Linked DNA regions of Mus musculus. The protein of the gene in region 1 interacts with the protein of each later gene in a pairwise test. Links are inferred from orthologs where the notes say so. Each region holds a gene or a part of one and is shown in the gene's direction. Other genes may lie near its edges.

Evidence for each region. The genes of interacting proteins can lie anywhere in the genome.
Region 2: the proteins of Traf3ip1 (region 1) and Pcnt interact in a two-hybrid assay, tested with the Homo sapiens proteins (2 studies listed by BioGRID and IntAct). The link is inferred for Mus musculus from reciprocal best matches to the Homo sapiens genes TRAF3IP1 and PCNT.

Annotation. Positions count from the first base shown.
Region 1 is NC_000067.6:91,518,648-91,522,215, forward strand, and holds part of Traf3ip1 (TRAF3-interacting protein 1), read left to right. Parts: intron 1-930; coding exon 931-1,015; intron 1,016-1,408; coding exon 1,409-1,492; intron 1,493-2,236; coding exon 2,237-2,360; intron 2,361-2,539; coding exon 2,540-2,576; intron 2,577-3,568.
Region 2 is NC_000076.6:76,383,856-76,387,423, reverse strand, and holds part of Pcnt (pericentrin), read left to right. Parts: intron 1-1,553; coding exon 1,554-1,720; intron 1,721-2,518; coding exon 2,519-2,683; intron 2,684-3,568. UniProt on the Homo sapiens protein: Integral component of the filamentous matrix of the centrosome involved in the initial establishment of organized microtubule arrays in both mitosis and meiosis. Plays a role, together with DISC1, in the microtubule network formation.

The DNA of each region.
Region 1 (3,568 bases):
CTCACTTTGTAGACCAGGCTGGCCTCAAACTCAGAAATCCGCCTGCCTCTGCCTCCCGAGTGCTGGGATTAAAGGCCTGCGCCACCACGCCCGGCATAATGTTTATTTCTAATGTTAAAATTCTAATTTTACTGTTTTATGAAGTATAAATTTATTTTGTTTTAAATAGTAGAATAAATTCTATTGTCTTAGTAATTTTGATTTGTGACTTGCTGTCTTAGCCTTTTTATTAAAATGAAAAACACTGTGTTTTAGCCGGATGATCCTGCCCACTTCCAATCTCAGCACTTGGGCGGTAGAGTCAGGGAGACCTCCATAAGAGAGCTCCAGGCCATTCAGGGCTACCTAGTAAGACTTTGTCTTAAAATACAAAGAAAATTATGTACTGACTGTTCAAAGAATACAGCACCCAGTGTAATTGTAGATACTTTAGAAATGGAGTCCAGCGTGACAAAGTGAAAGGCATTTGATGGTCTTTGTTTTTATAACTGAAGCACACACACTCCTGGGGCCCCCGCGGGAGTGACTGAGATCTGTCACTGTGCTCTGTGAGGAGTGCACATGTGAGTGGGCTAGAGCTTCTGAGCGATTGCCACACTGTCTGTCTGTCCGTCCGTCTGTGCACGATGTTCTTTTCCTCAGGCTCAGTTCTTTTGGCTCCATCACCCTTTATTCCTTGATTGGTCAGCCACTGTGCATTAGCAGAACTTGAGTGTGCCCATGTCCCCAAATGTCCACATTTAGATGTCTGACGTCTGTCAGTTTTAACCTCATCAGTGATGGGTGAAAAGAGTTCATTTGCATTTCAATTATTTGACTGATGCCTTTTCAGATGTTTATATTTAATTTGTTGATATTTATATTTGAGTAAATTTATTTTTGTTACTATTGAGTTCTTTTTGAATGCTGATTGGATTGTCCCCTGTTCAGAAGTAGAAGCTGGACCTGCTGGCCAAGATAAGCCGGAGGTGATGGAGAATGCGGAAGTTCCCAGTGAGCTTCCCTCCAGCCTCAGGTGTGTCCTCCGCTGGGGTTTGGGAGTGTGGTCATGCCTAGGACAGTGTGGGGCTTCCTGCCATAGCATCCGCTGCCCAGTCAACACTTGTTCTGTGGCGTAAGGGATTATTTGTGCAAAGCAAGCGGAAACTACCTGTCTAGTTTTCTTGTACCTGAGTTGGAGCATTGTACAGTTTGGAGAAGTTCCTAGTAATGGGAAGGCCTGTGGTGCTCTGATGAATGGCAGCTGTGCCCATTGAATGGGGCTGGTGTTCCTCTGCAGAGAGTCTGAGTGTCATGCCGACCGTGGCATGGGAGTGAACACTAGTGCTGGCCTGCCTATTTGTCCTGTCCACATTGAGATTTGTGTGTGTTTCACAGTCTGTTTTTTTTCCTTCCAATATTTTTTTAGAAGAATACCTCGGCCTGGGAGTGCACGGCCAGCACCTCCCAGGGTCAAACGACAAGAGAGCACAGAGACACTGGTGGTAGACAGGTGAGGCTGCCTGGCCAGGGGGTTCTAGTCACAATGAAGCCACACTCCCCAGTGCTGGACTGTGGGATGCCAAGGTCTGGGCCTGTGCTGAAAGACTTGGTAGGGTGTAGTACTCAGTACTAGGAAAAAGAAAAACTTACCTTGAAGAAATAGAGGATTAGATCACTGCCTTAAACCACAGAGCAGCAAGCATTCCAGATTGGCAAAAGGGAGAAATACGTGTGTTCATGTATCAGATGCCTCAGAAAGCATGGGCCAGCACTGGCTGTGTTTCCCTGACCTCTAGATAGAAGACTGTCAAAGTGTAAAAAGGAAGAGAGCTGAAGGTGTAATTGTGCAAGAGTTAAACAACAGGTACTCCGAGCTGAAAACACGGCAGCGGTATTGGATAGAGGCGTGGCCCTGTGAAAGGGGTCGGTCCCAAGTCACGTGACCCACAGGGCCCACTTGTGCCACCCTTGGTCTATCTTAGAGTCAACGTCAGCAAACAGGGCAGAGCCAAAGGACTAGAAAGGCTGGGGTAGAGGGCTGGGGTGGCCTGGAGCTCTGGGCAACATGGAGGCTGTTGTGTGGGAGGTGATATTCTCCCTGTTCCCACTGTTCCCTGAGAGTTCCCTTCACCTGTCTGGGGCAATGGCAGTTCAGCTCCTTTCTGAGAACTGTGGTATTTCCAGATGCAAGGGGCTGACAACAACTGGTGGCTGATGGGTCGTCACTTCTAATGTAATGACTCTTGCTGCTTAGGTCGGGAAGTGGTAAAACCGTCTCCAGTGTGATCATCGACTCCCAGAACTCTGACAATGAGGATGACGAGCAGTTTGTGGTGGAGGCTGCCCCTCAGCTGTCAGAAATCGCAGACATTGACATGGTTAGTTTCCCCGAGGGCCCTGTTCTTAGGCACACGTTCAAAAGTGAGGACTTGGCTTTTCAGCTTATGTAGACACAGTTTCTCTAATTTTTCAGTGAGCTGTCTGGTTTCTTTGTGTTTTTGTTATTTATTTATTTTGAAGTAACAAGGCTTCCCTGATCTCTCTCCTTTCCGCTCAGGTGCCGTCAGGGGAGCTGGAGGATGAGGAGAAGCACGGTGAGTATGGACCGTGCTCTTGTCGGTGTGTGTGTGGGCTCTCTGTGTCCTCTGAAGATGCAAGTGGCCATCCTGTGCCACAGGGTCCTAGGAGGGACACTGTTGCTGCTGCCATGTGGGCCTGGGGGAGCCATAGAACCTGAGATCAGAGTGGACTCCAAGCATAGTGGCATCGTATCTTGTCTTTCCAAGAAACTGTGTCTATACATGCTTATATGCACACATGAACATGAGAATAGAATTTGTTATGTAGCCCAGGCTGTCCAAAACTCTCCATTTTCCTGCCTTAGCTTCCTCAACAATGGAATTCTAGGCATATGCCACATCCAACTCAGTTTTGGTTTTTATTCATGTAATTCTTCCTGTGGCTTTAAGGTTAACTGTCCATAGCCAGCTGCACTGAGAGGTGTACATTTGTTTTGTGGTTGTTGTTATTTGCGGCAGGGTACCATTGTGTGGCTCTGGCTGGCCCAGACTTCACTGTGGAGATCTCCTTTTGATCATTTTCTTGCTTCTGTCTTGTGAATGTTGGGACTATAAGTTTGCACCACCCCACCCAGTGCTGAGGTCTAAGACTTCTCCTTTGTTCTTTCTCCCTATATTCCTCTCCCTGATAGTGCAGGTGAAAATGTGACTGGGGGTGGGGGTGGGGGTGGGGTTGAGGGCTCATAAGAGAGGGCAGCTCATGATAGAATGTTGACTGACATTCTGACACTTCTCTCCATCCCCCTATTATCCACCGCTTCACTCCTCTTCCCGTAATGTTCCTAAGCCTTGGAGGGCGGATGAGGGGTGCGGTGTAGATGTCCCACTTGTGGCTGAGCTTGTGTTGACACTTTGGTTGTGAGTTTGCACATTAACCATCGTCTGTGCATACAGACATACAGACTTAGTGGGTAGTTTGATGCTATGTCCTTTTAGTAGAAAAGAAGTTTTCCTCTGGGGCTGGCAAGCTCCCCAAGCATAAGTTTTGGGCCACATGTACAGGACTA
Region 2 (3,568 bases), on another chromosome or scaffold:
AGTCTGTCTTTTATATATACATATACATACATACATACATACATACATGTATATATATATATATATATATATATATATATATATATATATATATATATATATATATTATTGTGTGTGTGTGTACTTTTAGAGTTCAGGATACTACAAAGGTTCCACCAGGTCCTCTGCTGTCCAAATGCACTGTCACCTTGTTCCCTGAGTACAAGTTGCCAACGTGCTTCTGTTTGCCTCCTAAGAATGTCTTCGTGTGTTGGGGGTGGGGGGTGGGGTCCAGGTCTCAGCTCATTGCTTAGCACCTTTTTCAAGCGTTTGGAAAGAAAAGTAAACGTGCAGTGAACGTTCCTTCCCTTCACACTCAGATGGAGCGGATGGCGGGGAAAGTTGAGTGGCCTGTGTTGGACTCAGTGGGGACACCTGTGTAGGACTTATTGTCATATCACATTTGCTGTTAAAATAGCATCTATTGGCTGGAGAGTTATTCGGTGGATAGGGCACTGACCTTTCTTCCAAAGGACAGGGGTTCACTTCCCAGCATCCACATGGTACTCCTTGGCTGTCTGTAATTCCAAGATCTGACACCCTTAGACTGACAGACATGCAGGCAAAACACCAGTGCCTATATAAACAACTAAGTAGGTTAAAAAAAAATTGCAGAATTTGGAGGCAAGAGAGGCAGGCGCATTTCTAAGAGTTAGCATGTTAAGGCTGTGAGTTCCTGAGTGTCATCTCTTGCTTCCCCACCTCATGCTTGAGAATGAGGGTCTGGGCTTCCTCTGTACGTATGAGTTCTAGGATTTCCTTCCATTTGCTGCACTTTCTTTCTCCCCAGCATTATGAAAGGTGTGAATCCTTTCACTGTATGTCTGAGAATGTAGACTGAGCACAATCAAGGGAGAGATGGCCTGATGCTTCTGCTCGCTGTGGGTCTGGGGCTGCTGCCTCTATAGGCTGAGTCCCTGGGCACCAGACCCTCACTGTACCGCACTGGCCAGCACGTTCCTGTAGGCTTTCTTAGGCTATTGCAGGCAACAGGCCTGAAGATCCAGCTTTTATGCTCCCAAGGCCTTGTAAAGCCCCTGCCCATTAGATGTCTGGTGCCACAGGTTCTGGACTGTGCACAGTCTCGTCCCTATCCCACCTCAGGTCAAGCCAGGCACATCCAGAGTGGACACCGCTGTCCACCCAGCTGCTCCTACCCCGTGTCTAGGCTTGGTGTCCTGTCTGTCCGCAGCATTCTTGACCCCTGTGCTGGGTGAGAAGCACCTAGGCCTTAGGTACTGTCTGGCAGCCCCTCAGTGCTTTCTGGGGTGTGGTTGCCAGTGGGGGTGAGCGGGTACAGCCGTGTAAGGAGCTGAGATAACCCTGAGCAGACAACACGCCAGACATGCAAAGTAAGCTTTCCCTTTCTTGCTCATTTCCCTCTGACTTGTGTTTTATGGAAATTGGTGACACCTTTACCTGGTGCTAATCGGTGCTTTATGTGCCATGAGTTGCTGTCACTGTAGTTGGAAACAGATGCTGTGGCTTCAACCCCGGACCCCGTGTGCTTCTAGGTGATGGCCCAGACATTGCTATGATGTTGACCCTGGGCTCAGAAGGGTCTGAGACTCCCACCACTGACCTAGTCGCTGCTGCTGCTGCTGCTGTTCCTTTCTCTAGAAGGTTTGTCCAGTCACCAGGAGCAATGAAGGAGAAGGAGATCCATGCAAAGCAAATGAAGGTACTAATGTCCCAGAGAATTGGCAGCCCCAGTGACACAGAAAAACCTGTCCCTTCCGATGGTCAGCCTTAGCCCATTGGTGGGCTACACTCATCCTGGGCCATCACAGTATAGGAGTCCCACTGAAGGTCCTCCTCTTTGGTCCTATGCCAGTCCCCCAGGTGGTGGGCCTACTACTTTTGCTGTAGTGAAAACCCATGACCAAAAACCAAGCTGGGGAGGAAAGGGCTTATTCACCTTACATTTCCACATTGCTGGTCATCATTTAAGGAAGTCAGGGCAGGAACTCACACAGGGCAGGAACCTGGAGGCAGGAGCTGAGGCAGAGGCCATGGAGAAGTGCTGCTTACTGGCTTGCTCAGCCTGCTTTCACATAGATCAAAGGACCATCATGCAGGGAAGATACCACTTGTAGTGGGCTGAGTTCTCCCCCATTGACCCTGAATTGAGACAATGCTTTACAGCCTGATAAGAATTAAAACGGTAGACAGCACGTTATCCCTGAGTCAGGGAGGCATTTCCTCAACTGAGGCTCCTTCCTCTGATGACTGTAGACTGTGTCAAGTCGATACAAAACCAACCAATACAGTTAATCTTTGCTTTATTCTTTGTGCCTTAATTATATATGATACAAAACACTGAGGGAGAGGTCTTTAATGTTTTCTGTCTAAGCACAGCCTAATAGTAAAGTAAGTTTTAATTTTCAGTGAAAGAGCTGAGGTGGCAGTAGTTGGGTGTGTGGATGATGGTTTCAGGCTGGGATGCCTCCTGCTTCCTGATGTTTTTTTCCTTCTGTAGGCTTTGCTGCAGATGGTGTTTGATGAGAGCCACCAGATACTGGCCTTGTCAGAAAGCCAGGACCCCTCTAGTGCACTGAACAAAGGTGAACCACGTGACCCCCTGGATGGCTTCCCGAGAGACAGTCAGGCCCTTTCGGAGGTGACAACTGACAAAGGAGAGAAGGTAGGAGACTGCTGGCTCAGTACACGAGAAGGAACCATTTGACCTGCCCATAACATGGTCACACCACTGCGATGGCTTTGAACAGCCAGCCTGCTCCTGACCATAGCCCCAGGAAGCACAGAGTACCCAGCAGGGTAGCTCCATATAGCTTTGCGCCTTTGCAGCCCAGGGCTAGCTGGTGCAGCAGCAGCAGAAGGAGAGAAAGGTTGCCCATTCTATTTGTGGTTTTTCTGTTGCTGTGATCAAGCACCATGACCGAGGCAGCTCACAGAAGGAAGGGTTTGTTTCAGAGGAATAGAGTCCATCATGATGGAGAGCTGTGGCTGGTAGGAGCAGGGAGCTTAAAGTTCACATCTCAGCCATAAGCATGAAGCAGAGAAAACTGTAAGTGCCTAAAGCTTTGTACTCTCAGAGCCTGCCACTCAGTGATGTACCTTCTCAGAAGGCCAAACCACCTACACCTCCGCAAACAGAGCCACCAACTGGGAAGTATTCAAATGCCTTAGAGTGTGGGGGACACTTCTCATTCCAGCCACTACTTTTTTGCTCTTTTTCATCTCACTACTTCTGATACCAACAAATATTTTAAAAAAATAACGTTTGTTATGTAGCATGTGTGGAGGGATTACTGTAGCGTGAGTGGAGGTCAGTTGGTTTTCCCTCCTACGGCGTGTTTTCTGAACATTGAACTCAGGTCATCAGACTTGGACACAGGAGCCTTTGCCTGCTGAGCCACCTGGTTGGCCCCTGATATCATTATGTTTTTTAATTATTTTATGTGTATGAGTATTCTGTCTGCATTTATGTTTGTACATCACATGTGTGCCTGGTGCTCACAGAGGCCAGAAGAGGGTGTGTGATCCAGTGGGACCGGAGTTACACACA